Cricetulus griseus: one gene and its partners. The protein of the gene in region 3 binds, or shares a complex with, the protein of the main gene of each other region. Links are inferred from orthologs where the notes say so. Each region holds a gene or a part of one and is shown on either strand. Other genes may lie near its edges. The genes, in order: Senp2, Uspl1, Sumo3 and Senp1.

Region 1 (3,789 bases), on a different chromosome or scaffold from region 3:
AGCCACAAAGCTATGGCAACAGCAGATTTCTTAATGTTCAACAGCCAGAATCAAATGTGTGATGATACAGTTTATGATATTATGAACTAATGAGGTGTTTGAGCAACAGTGGTCCATACTGCATCAGCAGCACCAACCATTTCACTACAGGCTTGTTCTCAAGATACAATACATGTACTATGCACTGTGTGTGCCATCACACACCAACCACCAACCAATGCTGACCGAAACGCCTCACCTCAGACTGGAGACTACTGTACATTATGAATTTCACTGCTTTTACTGTACAGTTTTCTGCTCCTATAGAAACAAATTTGTCTAATTATAGAAAAAAGACTTTTACTATTTTTTTATCCAGCATAAAAGTTTCAAATGAATATGTCTCTGGTTTGTATTACGTTAGAATGTCTGATTTTATTTAAAAATTGCTGTTTGGGCCGGGCGTTGGTGGTGCACACCTTTAGTCCCAGCACTCGGGAGGCAGAGGCAGGCAGATCTCTGTGAGTTCAAGGCCAATCTGGTCTCCAGAGAAAGTGCCAGGATAGGCTCCAAAGCTACACAGAGAAACCCTGTCTCAAAAAACAAAACAAAACAAACAAACAAAAAATGCTGTTTGGGCTGGGCAGTGGTGCTGCACACCTTCAATCTCAGCACTCAGAAGGCAGAGACAGGTGGATCACTGTGAGTTCCAGAATGAGTTCCAGGACAGCCAAGGCTACACAAAGAAACCTTGTCTAGGAGCTGAGCAAGATGGTTCACCTAGGTAGCTGCTGCCAACCCTAACCACTTTAAGTTCAATACCCAGGACCCACTTTTTATTAGAAAATGTTTGATTGCCGGGCGTTGGTGGTGCACGCCTTTAATCCCAGCACTGGGGGGGGGGGGGCAGAGGCAGGTGGATCTTTGTGAGTCTGAGACTAGCCTGGTCTACAAGAGCTAGTTCCAGGATAGGCTCCAAAGCCACAGAGAAACCCTGTCTCGAAAAAAACAAAAAAAAGTTTGATTATATACTATTTTATGTACCTAGGAACACACAGAAATTTCTCAGATGAAAAGGGAAGTGGGGAATGTTTAGGAAGCCCACTCTATACCATCATCCATCTATAGGTATTTCCTGTCCGATTAGCAGACTACAAGGACAGGAGAATACTTACATCCAAGTAACAATTGTTTTACTTAATAATGGCCCCTGAAGGCAAAAGTAACAATGCAGAGGAGGTTCCTGACCCATGGGAAGCATGAGTTTTCATACAAAACACAGTTTTCATACGAAACACAGTCCACACAGGGGGGTCTGCACTGCCTGTAGTTGTAGACGCTCACCCGGAACATACACCTCATCACAACGGGACTACTGTATTTGGAACACTTGCCTGCACAAACCAGACACTTTTAAATATCCGAGTTCTATGAAATGAGCCCCACTCTCAGAAAATACAGAGACACAAGCTGACTTTAGGATTACAGGCCAAAACTCCCAGGATAACAATTTAAATTCAAAGAAATGCAATTCCAGTTAGGATTCTAGCAAATACACCTAACACTGAAACACCTGCAAAGTTGCCTTCCAGGATCCAGAAAACAAACTCTCAGCTGAGATCAGTTCCTAGGTTAGTTTTAGACAAAAAGGTGGAGCTAATGAAGTCCTGAAGACAAACACTTCATATCATAGCATATTACTTCGTAACTACATGTTAAAACAGCCACCCAGAGAGCCTAGTATTAAACAGAGGAGAGATTATCCAATGGAGGAAAACCAGCACAGCAGTGAGACTTTCAGACTTTACTTACAGAAGAATCTCACAGATCCTGTGGCCTTTTTGTCCCATAGAATCCAGATATTTAAGACACTTTTTTCTTAGGTCCATCACCTATATGGGAAAAGGCAAAAGTTCTTAGACAGTCATCCTTTTGTGTCATTTGAACCCAGTCTGGGTAAACGCCAGCTCCTCCCCCTCAGCCTCCTAAGTTCTAGGATCACAGCAGTGCTACCATACCATGCCAGCAACACTGTACACAGGGATAGTAGCACTTTAAAGATTTTAACACAGAGCAATACAAACAGGGTTAGGAACTTTTAGTTAAAGTTGTAAAACATCTCAAAACAGTTTGAGATTAACAGGACATACTTCAATTCCTATACAAAGGCCTAGAAGCTGTCTGTCCATCAGGCATCAATGATTCTCCTGGCATGGGATTCCGGCCCTGCACCTTTCCTCAAGGCATGCCTTTGACAGCTACAAGCTCTTAAAGCTGAACAAATCAACGCTTAGAGAGGACTCTGCAGAGCTTGCCTCTCACACTGTTAGCCTTTCAGTCACTGAAGAATGAGTGACAGCCGCCTTCACAGTTGAGGACAGTCATCTATACTAGAGGTACTATTAGCAGAGGAGTCCTTTCCTAGTATGTATGAGGTTCAGGGACTGATTCCCAAGGCAAGAAAGGAAAGAAAATGGAGACATAGCAAAAGGGGGAGAAGAGAAGAGAGAAAGAGGAAGGAGAGGAGAAGAGAAGGTCAGGGAAAGAAGGGAGGAAAGGGAGGGAGAAGAAAGAAGGGGAAGGAGAGAGGAAGAGAACAACGAGTCTATAACCAAGCTCCAAAAATCAACCCTCTCACTCACCACTAGGCTCCAATGCACCTTCCGATGAATGGGTACCAGAACAAGTTCTTGTTCAAAGAGATTCACCCCTTTGGTCCATCTTTTCACTGCCTGGTAACCCCCAGACTTTAATTTAGGATAGAAGAATGTACTGAATGCATGAAGTGCTGGATAGCCTTGCTTCTTACTCCTTTCCACTAAAAGATTCATGTAAAAATTAATGACCTGTAAAATACCAAAAGATTAAAATTTGGAACACGGCAAATACATTAAAAAAATGAAATTCCTACCTAAATCAGAAAGTAAGGTGCGTAAGGACAGTCCATGCAAGAAGTCAGAAAACAACTGTTCAGTACAAATGAACAAAGAAAGAAAGATGAAGGCTACAGACTGAGCTCAACAGCAAAGTGCTTGCCTAGGACATGTAAGATTCAATACTGGATTCAATTCCCAGTACTGGACCATCTCCCTAAATAAAACCCAGCAGTCATGTGACTATAATTCTGAAGCACGAGTCACATTTCCACACAGTAATGAAAAGGCATATACTACTGTTACGCAGAAAAATTAACTACTAACTATAGCACTACCTCCAAAATATACCTCAATTCGGATATTTCCTGGAAGGAGAAATGCCAAAATATGGAACTTTTGAACAATAATTTCTTCAAATATAAAGTTTTCAAAAATTTTATAATAAGCATATTTACACTTACATTACATTTACAAATGGAAGTATTTTCATGTAACTAGGCTTATGACATAGGAAGGCAGAGTAAATGAGAAAATTGAAGGACAGAGCAGTTGGGTTAACTGAAAATGTAGTAAGAACTAAGCCAGCTTTTGCAGAATATGTACTGATACAGACAACAAATGGAGTGACATTTTATATTTATCATTTGCCATGGTTTGAACACACATACCAAAAGTTCTTTAAGCTTTAACTATGTGCATATATGTGGAAAAATGCATGTTGAGTGCAGGCTCCCATGGAGGCCAAAGATATAAGATCCTCTGCAGCTGGAGTTACAGGCTGTTAAGTCAAAGGAGTTTTGTGCTGGGAACCAAACGAGGGTCCTCAGAAGAGCAGCAGGCACTCTTACCTGCTGAATCATCTCTTTTGTCCTTTCTCTAAAACACTTACACAGGAACCTAAATGCTCAGTGTGACAGCAGTAGGCAATGACTCA
Region 2 (4,283 bases), on a different chromosome or scaffold from region 3:
AACAAATACACCAGTACATTATGTAGTGCAAATGCAAACGCAAAAAAAAAAAAAAAAAAAAAGCAAAACCTAACCAGTTTATTTTTGTCTTGAGGGAGAAAAAAAACCCTAACAGTCTCTGTTGGACGGATCAGCGATTTGCATTCCTAAGTACCACAAACTGAAATTCTTTTATTGAATAATTTCTTTCTCCAGCGTACTTGTCCCCCCCCCCCCCAATAGCACGCTATCAGCATTCTGCCAGAACACAGTCCTTTAAGGCCACTTAGGAAACCCCACAGAACCGCAGTCCAAAATGCCAGTCATGATTCCTGTAAGAAAGGGTCCGAAAATCCAAATCGTTGTCCCAGGCCACGGAAACGATCGACCCAAAGGACTCCAAGGAATAGGATGTCCTCAAGAACGCATTCAGTGCGGACGTCCCTCACACCACATGACCTTCCTGCGAAGGCAGTTCTAAAAACTTAGCAACTCGAGAACTCCCCTCCTCTCAAGTTAGAGGAGGCAGGGCCGCTGAGATGCGCAGGTCGGCTGCTCGGTGCCACCCCGGGTCAAGGCTAACCACGTACGGCCCTGTGCTTGTCTTTCGCTACTCCCCTTACCGTGAGCAGATCTGAGAGGGAAGCAAGGAAAAGCCCCTGGCCTCCGAGGAGGGGTTTAGGGAAGGGAGGGGCAGCTCCGTGTGTGGTGACCCTTTGTGAACACGTACGGTGGCGCCGCGGCCGGGAGAACGAACTATGGGAAGCGGCCGCCATGATGGCTGGCCAGTGGGGACCACACGCAGGTCACTGGGCCTGCGCGCACGCCGCCGCCGGGCGACCACTCCTTCCTCAGCCGCGTAATCCCTCCGCTCAGGGCCGCGCACTAATTTTAATCACGCTCCGCCCCCTGGCCGCTGGCGTCACCTCCGTCACTCGGGCGCTTTCCAGCAGCTTCCAGAACCGTCCCCTCCTCCTCTCCCCTCAGTCACACTTAGCGGGCTCTGCAGCTATGGGTCCCGCCCCTCCTGGCGCCGCAGTTCCGACTGCGCCTGCGCCTGAAGGGAAGACAAACCACGCCTCTGCGGAGCCTTGCCGGAAGTGTTCTCGTCTTCTCCTTCCCCTGCCCTACCCGCGTGCTTTCAAGCGGCGCGCTCTTCAGGAAGGTGATACGGGGGGAGGCTCTTGGGCTGCGGACGCCCAAGCGGAAGTTGTTTTCCTAGCGGAGACGGCGGTGGGGGTGGAGTCGTCCGAGGGGAACGTGGGTTGAACGTTACGGGTAGATGGTGTGGAGCTCAAGCTGGAACAGGAGTTCGGACCGATTCTACACGAAGAAGGGCTGTACTTCGGGCCGGTAAGGGAGAGAGAGTAATTGTCTCTGGAAGTAGAAATTGGGCCGGCTGGAGTGCTCGGGGTGGGTCGTTGGCATGGTGAAAGGCTGGGCTGGGCACAAGGTTTAGGTGGGAAGGATGGAGGTGCCGACTGGGATCAGGGTCCGTTTGGGCTTAAAGAGGTAAACGCTGAATAGAAACCAGAGTTTGTGTCCGCCCCACGAAAAGCGTGGAGATGGGCAGGGTAACGGAACGCCGCGCCTCCTGGGCTTCCCTGGTTGGCTTTGGAAGCTCACGTCGCGTGGCCCTTTCCGTCTCAAATTCGGGAAGCTGGGTTGGGTACCAAGCGAACTGGACTCTGAAAGCCAACCCCTTGCCTCGGATTTAAGTCTGTTGGCCTTGCCTTGCACAGCTCGTTAGCCTAGCCGGGAGGTAAAGCACCGACGGATACAAGGCCCTTCTTCGAGAACCTATTACAGGTTTCCACATTACACATGCAGTGAGTGAAATTTAATTAATCACGTCCCTCTCGTGATTGCTTGCTAACTGGATCCGTTCTAGGCTGATTACTCCCGTTAGGGTCTCTGGAATGCCCATGGCTTACCGACGTTGAAGGGAGCTGGGTGTGAGAGGGAAAGTGCTGGGGATGAAGGCTGGGAAACGTGGTTGGTCTCCACCTTGTAACAAGCTCACAGAAGGTGCACTTGTCTGTTTCCCTCATCATGAAATAGCATCACATGATAACTAACTTAGGTGTTAGCATGGCTTCATTTACTTCTTAGAACAAATTTAGGTTGTATTGAGCTTTGGATTAAGTAGGTGATTTGAAGCTGAACTGTCTTTTTGACAGTGGTATCAATGGAAAGAGAGACGGGTTCAAACATTTCCAAGGCACCATCCACTGTGCATCCATGAGAAAGATGGGAGTAGCAGAGTCAAACTTTTCTTTGGAAGCCCAAAGATGCCAAATTTAAGCACCATACAGGGAGGGTCAGGATACTTTTGAAGAAAAGATAATGAAGATAGTTGTCATGGGACAATTGAGGTGTAAGAACCACCCCAGGATTTTGTATATAAGATGGAGTTAAAGACCTGGAATGCCACAGGGCGGTGGGGGCACAGGCCTTTAAGCCCAGCACTCGGAAGGCAGAGGCAGGCCGATCTCTGTGAGTTCATCACCAGCCTGGTCTACAAGAGCTAGTTCCAGAACAGCCTTCAAAGCCACAGAGAAACCCTGTCTTGAAAAAACAATAAACAAACAAATAAATAAAGATCTGGAAAGCCTACTTCTGGAATTTTAAACATGAATATTCTTTGGCAGAAAAAGAGTGTCTTAATATTGTTTGGTGTTTCTACCACTATCTTGCTTGAGATCCATGTGCTGGAATTAAAGGCTTAAAGGCATGTACCACCATGTTGGGATGTGCCGTGCCTTCCTGTTGAAATAGTGGATGATAGGATCAGGAGAGCAGGTTTGAAGGATTCTCATTTCTACTTCTATATTGAGAAAGAACCATTCCAAACAGTTTCCTAGACCTTCAGGTAGATAAAAAGTTTCATGAACAATTTATTGAGGAGCCTGCAGGTTTCTCTTCTGAGAGTTAATGCAGACTGACAGAAGGTGCACTTGTCTGTTTCCCTCATCATGAAATAGCATCACATGATAACTGTAACTTAGATGTTAGCATGGCTTCATTTACTTCTTAGAACAAATTTAGGTACATAGCATAGGCTATGTATCACTCTGAATCATTGGGGTTGGCTTTCCTATGTCCTGTAATTCCTTTTTTTTTTTTTTTTTTGTGAATAGGTTATGAGTAGAACCAGCTAAAGGTTGTGGAAACTGAGACTCAATAATACTGCTCGCTCGACCACCCTCCCTTCCTACTTTCCCTCCCTCCCTCCCTTTCCCCCTCTCCCTCTCCCAAGTATTGTGGTTACAGGTGTGGTCACAGATTTTCACACTGCATGTATATATTTGTGTGGATGTATATATCTTTTTGTTTGTTTGTTTTGAGACAGTTTCTCTGTATGTCCCTATGGTTATCCTAGAACTTGGCTCTGTAGACCATGCAAAATTTAGGTTTTGTCAAGATTTATGCTTGAGGTTTCAACTCTGTGACCAAATGTTAACCTATCTCTGCCTAAAGGTCTTTTAGATCTGGTTTTCTTGTGTTGAGTTGTGTCCTGAATCTTCCAAATGGGGTCAACTCTGTGGCACTATACTAAGTACATGCTTATTACATGTACTATAGATGGACTTAATTTTTGTTCTGATACAGATCATTACAAAGATCATACTATTTTGTTGGTAACGTTTTAAATGTAGTATTCTGCTAGTTATAGTTGCAGGCCTTTAATCCCAGTGCTTAGGAGGCAGAAGCAAGCAGAGTTCAAGGTCAGCCTGGTCTACATACATAGCAAGTTCCAGGCCAGCCAGGGCTACTTAGTGAGACTCTGTCTTCAAACAAAAAAATATTCCCAACTGGTGAAGAGTTAGTGGTTGAGAACTGTAGGAAGACATAAAATGTGTGGTTTGTTTGTTCTTGTTTTGCTAGATCAGTAGGCCTGGAAGGTTCATGTTCTTTTTAATGCTGGCATGGTTGCATCAAACTGTGCATAGACTGAAAAGCTTAGGTTCTCAGACTTTGTTGACTAACTTGCTTAACCAGTCGCTGCCTCTATGAAATTGTAATTTTCTGTATGTAGGAAAATGTACCCTGTGATCACTCTGATTTCTCGTCCATTTGTAAATATCTAAATACATTTAGGGACTTTCAAGACCACAGTTTTAGAATGTTTAGAATGTTTATCTGGGAATTTGCAGCTCTCAAATATATGTAATATCTCTGTCTTATAAAATAGCAAAGCTCTCTTTTTAGAATCAATAGGATTTTTATTTAATTGTTGACTTTTTTTTTCCAGGATTCATTGAAAAATCCTTAGTGATATTGACATGTTCCAAGTGACATAA
Region 3 (3,789 bases):
CCCTCAGAGTCCCCCAGTGTTCCTCTGGTTCTCCACTCTTGGTTTTATGTGGCTTTTCTTACCAGTCTTATAAAACCATGCAAATGTGTTTACCAGTCTCATAAGTCTTGTTTGTTTGTTTGTTTTTGTTTTTCGAGACAGGGTTTCTCTGTATTTTGGTGCCTGTCCTGGAACTTGCTCTGTAGACCAGGCCGGTCTCGAACTCATATACGCCTGCCTCTGCATTCCGAGTGCTGGGATTAAAGGCGTGTGCCACCAACACCCGGCCTCATAAGTCATTTTTAAAATAAAGATGGGTTTTCTTTGGCTTCCTAGATCTAATGAGTAGATTTTTGTCTTTGAATTGGTTGTCTGTGAGGACACTGGCTTTGTACCACTGTTTCTGTCACGGTGCTTAACAAATGTAGGTTAAAAATAAATTCTGTGTAAAAATAAGACAATCACACGAGCAGTGCTGCTGGGGGAGTCTTAAGAATTAGGTAGGTTTTAAAGACTTGAAACAACAACTCTTACCTAAGGACTTACGTTTTAAACCCTGGTGGTTCTGAGCTGGCTTTGAGTCCCAATTCCTGTGTCTTTCAGGAGGGAGTGAAGACAGAGAATGACCATATCAACCTGAAAGTTGCGGGGCAGGATGGCTCAGTGGTACAGTTCAAGATCAAGAGGCACACCCCACTGAGCAAGCTGATGAAGGCCTACTGTGAGAGGCAGGTAGGTAGAGCCCCATTCGGGGTGGGGAAGTCCTGTGGGGTCTGCTTGTGTTGCAGGTGTGCCCTTGCTGCCCTGGGTTTTGCTAGCTGCATGTCTCTTATAGTGTGTCTTCTCCCCGGCCGGTTTCCTGCAAATGGCAAGGTGGAGTTTGAGGCTTGAGCAGGCTCCAGTGTGGGTTTGCTTCCTCATAGACACCATCATGGTGGTGGTAATTACAGTCCATCAGCCAGCACATGGGTCCCACCTGGGTCTGGTGGTGATGTTCTGTGGTGTGTGCAGATAAGGATCAGTGCTGATTCCAATTCCTCCCTCTGATATCCATGCAATTACGCTTGTTTGTGCCGACCTCATGGGCAATTTGATTTTCTGTCTTATTTAGGGAATCGAGGAAACACTTTATCTTCTCCCTAATTACCATTTCAAAATAGCATGCTGACTGACCTTTGTCCCCAACAGTGACCAGCTGGGTTGGTCATTTCTGCTCGCTGTTGTCAGTGTCGGTGTGGACTCATGGCTCTGGCACACATGATGCTTGGGTTCATCCATCTAGTTCATTCTCACTAAGGACCTTTTGGCATGTGGGTATGCTCCAGCCCACCGGGAGCCCTTGGATTCCTGGTCTTGCTCCTCTGTTGTCTGCCCCAGTGGCTGCCTGGCCTGCTGCACATAGACCTACGTGCCAGTTCCTGTCTGAGCCCTGCCATCTGGTAGGGGGTCCTGCCCTTTGGTGTGGGCAGTGGCATCTCAATATGGTGGTTCAAGGTTGCCCTTAAGTGCTTGCAAACACAGCTGTTTGCTGCCCTTTATCTACTGCCCTGATAGCCACATTCCTGCCTTGGGACTTTGTTGAACGTGCTCTGCCAGGCAATACTGTGCTTTTCCTTCCTGGCTCTCAAGCCCTGCAGACAGTGCACCTGCCCTCTTGTCTTCTAGGTTTTGACCTTGGGTACTTTTCTCACCTGTGAAAGGTGAGACAGAACTTTCTGAGGACGCTGTGTCCCCTGTGCCCTCCCAGCTGAGTCAGCTGCTTGTGCTGTGTGCCACTACTTAGACTGTGCCAGTGTGCAGGGCCCTTCCTTGCCTGTGTTCTGCTCAGTCTGCTTGCTCTCATGTATGTTTCCTTGTACCCTAATCTTCTGCTGAGGCCCCCACATTCAGGGGTGGGAGGCACACTAGATCAGCTGCCTCAATGTTTGGAGCCTCCTGCTGGCCCCACCTAAACCATTGCTTTGGAGTGAGGGTGTCTGCATGATTGCCATCCCATAGCCTTTTGAGAATCATTCTGGAGACTCACGTAGCCTTCCTACTGTATCTGTGTGTGTGTGTGTGTGTGTGAATTCCCCCTCTTTGTGTGGAACATCATCCCTTGTATCTGACAGGGACTTGCATGCTTGGCTGCATGGAGTATTTTCGGCTGAGGTGCACTGCTTTGGGAGGTGCCATAATTCACTGTCATCTCGGCAGGGGCTCTGGAGGTGATTCTTATCCCTCTGGGGAGGTGCTTTCCGGACCCTTTCCAGCTATAACCCTGACTCTGACTGTCCTCACTACTCTGTAGGCAGACATCTGCCTCTGCCGTGTTTCATGTTTGGAGTGCTCGGTCCTCCCGCAGTCAGCCATGCTTGCCTCTGACCATTGTCTTTCCCCTTTGCACTGGGTGCTACTGTTGCTGTCTCTTTGACTTTTCCCTCTCCTTATCTTCCCACTTTATAGGCCATTCTTGCTCGTCATGATTTTTAGTTTCCACAAATTCTGTCTTTTCCTGTTTTGTGTTTTTTTCCCCTAGTAGCAACTTTCTAGAGTGTTCTTGTGTGTGTGTGTGTGTGTGTGTGTGTGTGTGTGTGTGTGTGTGAGAGAGAGAGAGAGAGAGAGAGAGAGAGAGAGAGAGAGAGAGCATGTATAAGTATGTTTTTAGCTTTATTGAAGCTTTAAGTTTTAACTGCTCCACCCCCTTCCTTTTTTTTCTGCCTCATGATATTGAAGAAAAGCAAAATGATGTTACAAAGCCTTTACTAGTAGATTTGCTTAGGAGACATGAAGTCATACAAAGTAGAATTCAGCTAAAGGAGCACTGCCTCCAAAATACCCCAAAGATAAGTAGTATTCTAACCAGGCCTGTTGGATAAGAGAAATGTAGGATGCTAGGATGTAACTGCTGATTCATCAGGATTGACCATTGGGCTCTATTCCCTCAACAAAGGAGACAACCTGACTTAGAACCAGCTTGTTAGTCCAATCCCCATATCAAATACCATGCTTCTACAATGCAGCACAAGGGGCCCAGCACGGCCACAACCGTGTTAAGTCTTAGCCTGCCATAATGCCCCCAGTTCTCACTGGAAAATGTATAATCTGTCTGGTGGACAAGACCACCCCAGGTAACAACTATTTGAAAGAACTGCACTGACATGCTTAAAGTAATTCTGGCAATGTGCAGCACCTTTGCTGTGTAAGCCTCACATCTGCCTGAGTGTCCAGACTGAATCTCCTGTCTGTTTATGTTGTTCAAAGTGTGACCTGGTGACCTGACAGAGATTTGAGGATGACATCATATGTGAAATCCATAAGCCTCGGGTGTATATGAGTTAGTAAAATCTTCTATATGAGGCCTCCCCTTTGGGCATTAGCCAGAGCCAGACACATGCTATTTTATTAAAGAGCTTTTCCCTCACCTCTAAGTGTGTGGAGTGATTCTTCACTGGGAAAGCATGTCACTTCTGTAACATGCTCTTCCCCTGGTCTGTTTTCACATGTTAGGGTCTTTTTTTCCCCTTCTTTTTGTTTGTTTTTTTTTAAAGACTTATTTATTATGTACACAGTGCTCTGTCTGCATGTATCCCTGCAGGCCAGAAGAGGGCACCAGATCTCATTACAGATGGTTGTGAGCTACCATGTGTTTGCTGGGAATTGAACTCAGGATCTTTGGAAGCACAGGCAGTACTCTCAACCCCTGAGCCATCTCTCCAGCCCCATAGGGTCTTTTCTTAAATGTCCCCAGCTTCTGCTTGTATTTTAAGAGTGAAGCAGTGAACCACCGCAGGAAAGAGAGTATGGCGGAGGCTGCACGTCCACAGGGCG
Region 4 (4,327 bases), on a different chromosome or scaffold from region 3:
GAAATCAACACCCGTCCCATGTTCCATAAATATTGTTCTCACTCAACTCCCAAGTCTTATTTGCCTGGGACAAGGATAACATCTCCCTTATACTTGCACAACGAAAAGACATAACACAGTGACATTCTTTTTCAAACTAGGAATAGAAATAAACTGGTCAGTTGACCCCTTAAGTCTATGATTATACCAGAAGCTCTCATCCTGTATAGCTCTGAGAAACTCATCCCTTGCCACTGTAGCTTAATCAATGGTACCTGTGTTCTGAGCATTCCTGACTACTCGTCGAGCCTTAATCACACACATGAAAAATTTCACACGAATGTTGTTTTTACTCATGGCTATTTCCTAGAAATAAAGAGAATTTGATCCAAATAAATAGATGTAGAACAAAGTGTCAAAGGTTGACATGGTCTAGGGATACTTAATACTGCTGGGTTTTAGGACTTGGCCATATAAAAAATCAGTATATAAGGTGATATCATAATCTACTTTTATATATACAAGTCAGGATCCCCGAACAAGCAAGTTCAGATCCTTCCCTTTCCCAGTTGCTGATAGTATGGAAAAGGCTGCGAGCTTCAGAGGTTTTCCCTACTTCAAGACTGAATTCAGACAGGCAGTTAACTGGGTCTAGAATTCTGAAGCACCTCTCCAAGGCTTCTAAGTAGGGTCTGACCCAGAGACCTACTAAATTAGGGAGCTTGGTAAATAATTTGAATGAACAAACTTAAAAGTTTGGCATAGATTACATGTTTAAGACCTCTGGTGTGCCCCATTAGAAATCACTGATTTAAATTCCTCCAGTTACTTAAGGTTCTGCAGGCTGTTAGAGTCTAAGCTAAGATGTTCCCGGAGTTTCTCTTCCCAGTCTCTGGTTGCTACCCCAGCCCTACTTCCTGTGATCAATCAAGCGCAACAAGATGCACACTAATTTCCAGAAGATATAGTTTGAAATCGACTTAGATCTCAAATCCTCATTTGTCAAGGAAGGCACAACTATGTAAAGCCACAGCGAAAAGCTGCCATGGAAACCTGAACCTAAGCAAAAAAAAAAAAAAAAAAAATCAACGAACGGAACCAGAAGACAGCGGGTAAGGGAGCGGAGGGACAGAGAAAATCAAAGGACGGTGGGCGCACTAACAGCACTCCAAGTGTGAGAAAGAAGAAAAGATCAGTCTGGGCCTGACGGGGCGATTAAGACTAGACTCAAACGCTTCCTTGGCTTCTCAGCCTCGCCACCTCGCGCAAGCGTCCCCCGAGTCCGTAACTCTGCTCTTTGACCTCTTGCCCCACCCCCTTTCTTCCTCGGCGGCTGCCCAGCCGTCTTCCGGTGCCGTAAAGACGGTTCCGGTTCACGGAGGTTCCCGGGCTTTGCGTTCTGAGCCCGGCCGGAAACTCCTTTGCCTAGCAGCCGGTTCCGGTTCGGTGAGTGGCGGCGGGAAACTGGGGGAGGGGTGAGGATGGAGGGAGACTGGGCCGGGAGTCTGTGTCGGACCGGGCCCGCCGGCCTCCGCGGGGCTGAGCGGAAGCGAGGACCGCGGTGGGGACTGTGCTTTTTCTTCCGCCCCGCCCCCTGGGACCACCTCCACTCCCCCCTGCTGTCCGGTGGCGGCTGTCTGACCCGGGGCTGGTAGCTGGGCTTCCTGAGGCCGCCCTTTGAGGCCTCCGTCTCCTGACCCGCGGAGAGGCCGTCTCCCGGCGGTCACAGCAGGCCCCTCTCAGCGCCCAGCTCTACTTCTCCACAGAGAAAAAGGCCGGTTGGGATTCCTGGAGTTTCCCGCCAGAGCAGGGTCCCCTCCAAGGGAGAGAGAGAGCTGTTTCCACCAAGAAGTTCAGCTTTCAATCCCACCTGCTTCACCTGTCTTCTTTGAGACCTGAATGATACTTCTCGACTACTTCTGTGTCCCACGCAAACAATTCTACAACTCTTTTACCCTGTGGTATTTCCCTGAGATGCGATATCGCTAGTGCCACCACCAGAGAGAAACGTCTGGACCCTCCTGCACAGGTTATGAAAACTCCCTTAACTGCCACAGTTTTCTTCTTACCTGGCTCATCGCCTCTTGGTAATTGTCTTGAACCTTTGCTTCGTGATCTTTCTGGATACGTGCTAGGTTTCCCTGGTCTCGAGCTTGGTGATTTCTGTTTTATCAGTACCTCTACAGTTTTTCTGTTATCTTGTTGGCAATAACTCGCTCCTTTATCACTTTAAACTCACACTTGTTAAAATTATTTAGTTCGTGTGACATACTTCTTGTGTTAGAGCGGTGGTGATTCCTGTAACAATTTCTGTCGTCTTTTATAGCCTGTCAACTGTTTGACTTAAAGTTTTTCGTTGTAATGGGAAATTCTGGATGAAGTAGGTAATATGCATAAGTATTCTCCCTAAAGATCATTTGTATTCAGGATCTAGCCTTTTACCTACATTCAGGACTCTTGCTGACATGTGAAGTACAGTGCCTTTGATGTTACAGTGACACCTTAACGAATGACCTTAATCTTCCAATTAGACTGCCTGCTCCCAGTCCCTGTCCCTTTTAGAGTGCTTCTTCATTCATTCATTTTACCTGATTTCAGTTAATTATCCCAACTGCAAAAGTGGATATCCTGTCACTCATCTGTTGGATTACGTCTAAAGAGGAAGTGGATGAGTAGACAAACAGGTTCTGCCACTTGTGGCTAAAGAGTGATGTAATTTCTTTCTTTCATTGACATCTGTTTCTCCTACTAGTTGTACCAGTTTTGCTGGATCTGTGAATACATCTGGCATCCTTTACTAGCCTATGAATTTATTTATTTGTTTATTTATTTATCTATTTATTTATTTGGTGTTTTGAGACATGGTTTCTCTATAACAGCCCTGGCTGTCCTGGAACTGACTCTGTAGATCAGGCTGGTCTAGAACTCACAGAGATCCACCTGGCCCTGCCTCTGGAGTGCTGGGATTAAAGATGTGTGCCACTACCACCGGCAAGAAAGATTTTCTTAAAAGAAAAAAATTGTCATCCTTGCTAGAATTTGATGACATCTAAGGCTCCTTATCTATGACTTCATGCAGAATCTTGGTTTTGTTGTTGTTTTTTAACTCTCTTCCAACACTATTATAAACGTAGGTACTAGAAGCACACCGCAGAAGCAAGATGTATTGTATTAAGGTGTAAACATAGAGCTCTAGCCATCTAAACATATAAGCCAGGATAGATGACCAAAGCTAGTCGGAGGTTATTTTTCAATTGCCCAGGTAAATCTTTGAATGAGGGTGTTTGAGGGATGTGAGGCTGTGCTGTGCTTCAGATGTGCTCTTGCTGGGGAATTCTTCCTTTGGCCTCATTGGTGTGATTTCATGCAAGTCATTTAACTTTTCTGAATTACTGACTTTGTAGTAGGTTTTCCCCTTCCACATCTCTAAAATGAAAAAGAAATTAACTGGGGTTGTTCTTCTGGATAGCAGATTTTCTTTTCTTTTTGAGAGAGCATCTTGCTGTATAATTCAGAGTGACTCCAAACTTGGAATCTTTCTACCGTCCAAGTTCTGGATACCATACTCTTAAATTGGTCTTTTCCTTCTCCTTTTTTTTTTTTTTTTTTTTTTTTTTTTTTTTTTTTGTGAGTTAGGGTTTCTGTGTAACAATCCTGGATGTCCTGGAACTCCCTTTCTAGACCAGGCTGTCATAGAACTCACAGAGATCTGCCTGCTTCTTCCTCGAAAGCACTGGGATTGAAAGCATGGCCACCACCACCAGGCTGGGCAGTCTTTTTAAAAAAGATGGGTGGAGTGGGCTACTCACAATTAGAAAGTGACCTTGGTTGATAGGCTGCTCACTGAAGCAGCCTTCCTTGTGTGCTCTTTGTTATTGTGACCATTGAAAAAGCCTGTTGACATCTCAGTCCCTTGAATACTTGGAGAATTCAGAATGGCTGTGGACTTGTGAACCAAGTACTCAGTCTTAACTATGGTACTAAAAGTGGGGGTGTGTATACATGTGTGGTTATGTTAATTACGTAGTTCCAAGCAGTTAGGCTCTTAACTACCCCAACCCTTTTCTGGGAAAATTCATTATCTGTAACTTCACTTTCTGCAGTTACAGTTACAGTCAACTGTATTTAGAAAATAGATGGAAAATTCTATATTTTGAGATAGACTATTCATGAGAACACATACACATAGAGTGTGTGTTTTGTTATATAACCCTAGCTGGCCTAGAACTATGTAGACCAGACTGCCTCAAACTTATAGAGATCTACCAGCCTCTGCCTCCCAAATTGTTACTGTTGTTAATCTCTTATTCTAAATTAAATTAAACTTTCTTAGAGCTATATGTATAGG

What was found.
Region 1: the proteins of Sumo3 (region 3) and Senp2 are in contact, whole or in part, in a crystal structure (PDB 2IO1), measured with the Homo sapiens proteins. The link is inferred for Cricetulus griseus from reciprocal best matches to the Homo sapiens genes SUMO3 and SENP2. Residues at the interface, in NP_008867.2 of Homo sapiens: Arg55, Arg58, Arg60, Phe61, Asp62, Gly63, Pro65, Asn67, Asp70, Leu75, Asp81, Asp84, Phe86, Gln87, Gln88, Gln89, Thr90, Gly91, Gly92, Val93, Pro94, Glu95; in NP_067640.2 of Homo sapiens: Gln385, Asp386, Phe393, Lys394, Leu395, Arg396, Trp410, Leu411, Asn412, Asp413, Glu414, Ser439, Thr440, Phe441, Pro444, Lys445, Arg456, Trp457, Lys459, His474, Lys476, Val477, His478, Trp479, Met497, Gln499, Gln542, Asn544, Gly545, Ser546.
Region 2: the proteins of Sumo3 (region 3) and Uspl1 are in contact, whole or in part, in a crystal structure (PDB 7ZJU), measured with the Homo sapiens proteins. The link is inferred for Cricetulus griseus from reciprocal best matches to the Homo sapiens genes SUMO3 and USPL1. Residues at the interface, in NP_008867.2 of Homo sapiens: Gln24, Asp25, Gly26, Ser27, Val28, Arg58, Arg60, Gly63, Gln64, Pro65, Ile66, Asn67, Asp70, Leu75, Phe86, Gln87, Gln89, Thr90, Gly91; in NP_005791.3 of Homo sapiens: Ala234, Cys236, Trp237, Pro321, Gln322, Leu323, Arg324, Met330, Glu331, Ser332, Val334, Phe335, Leu339, Tyr368, Thr378, Thr380, His393, Phe394, Gly395, Pro396, Asn398, Arg407, His421, Val423, Tyr451, Asn454, Asn455, His456, Phe457, His493.
Region 4: the proteins of Sumo3 (region 3) and Senp1 are in contact, whole or in part, in a crystal structure (PDB 6NNQ), measured with the Homo sapiens proteins. The link is inferred for Cricetulus griseus from reciprocal best matches to the Homo sapiens genes SUMO3 and SENP1. Residues at the interface, in NP_008867.2 of Homo sapiens: Gln24, Ser53, Arg55, Gln56, Arg58, Arg60, Asp62, Gly63, Pro65, Asn67, Thr69, Asp70, Gln74, Glu76, Asp84, Phe86, Gln87, Gln88, Gln89, Thr90, Gly91, Gly92; in NP_001254523.1 of Homo sapiens: Gln440, Asp441, Glu446, Arg449, Leu450, Thr451, Lys455, Trp465, Leu466, Asn467, Asp468, Glu469, Asn494, Thr495, Phe496, Lys500, Arg511, Trp512, Lys514, Lys515, His529, Gly531, Val532, His533, Trp534, Gln597, Gly600, Ser601, Asp602, Cys603.

Annotation. Positions count from the first base shown.
Region 1 is NC_048597.1:66,883,183-66,886,971, forward strand, and holds part of Senp2 (sentrin-specific protease 2), read right to left. Parts: intron 2,826-3,789; coding exon 2,622-2,825; intron 1,872-2,621; coding exon 1,792-1,871; intron 1-1,791. UniProt on the Homo sapiens protein: Protease that catalyzes two essential functions in the SUMO pathway.
Region 2 is NC_048597.1:84,997,797-85,002,079, forward strand, and holds the start of Uspl1 (SUMO-specific isopeptidase USPL1), read left to right. Parts: upstream 1-1,205; 5' UTR 1,206-1,332; intron 1,333-1,485; exon of another isoform or gene 1,486-1,808; intron 1,809-4,234; 5' UTR 4,235-4,283. UniProt on the Homo sapiens protein: SUMO-specific isopeptidase involved in protein desumoylation. Specifically binds SUMO proteins with a higher affinity for SUMO2 and SUMO3 which it cleaves more efficiently. Also able to process full-length SUMO proteins to their mature forms.
Region 3 is NW_023276806.1:261,202,580-261,206,368, reverse strand, and holds part of Sumo3 (small ubiquitin-related modifier 3), read left to right. Parts: intron 1-582; coding exon 583-711; intron 712-3,789. UniProt on the Homo sapiens protein: Ubiquitin-like protein which can be covalently attached to target lysines either as a monomer or as a lysine-linked polymer. Does not seem to be involved in protein degradation and may function as an antagonist of ubiquitin in the degradation process.
Region 4 is NC_048595.1:394,573,923-394,578,249, reverse strand, and holds the start of Senp1 (sentrin-specific protease 1), read left to right. Parts: upstream 1-1,433; 5' UTR 1,434-2,011; coding exon 2,012-2,066; intron 2,067-4,327. Other genes in the region: Pfkm (ATP-dependent 6-phosphofructokinase, muscle type), read right to left, coding at 255-336. UniProt on the Homo sapiens protein: Protease that catalyzes two essential functions in the SUMO pathway.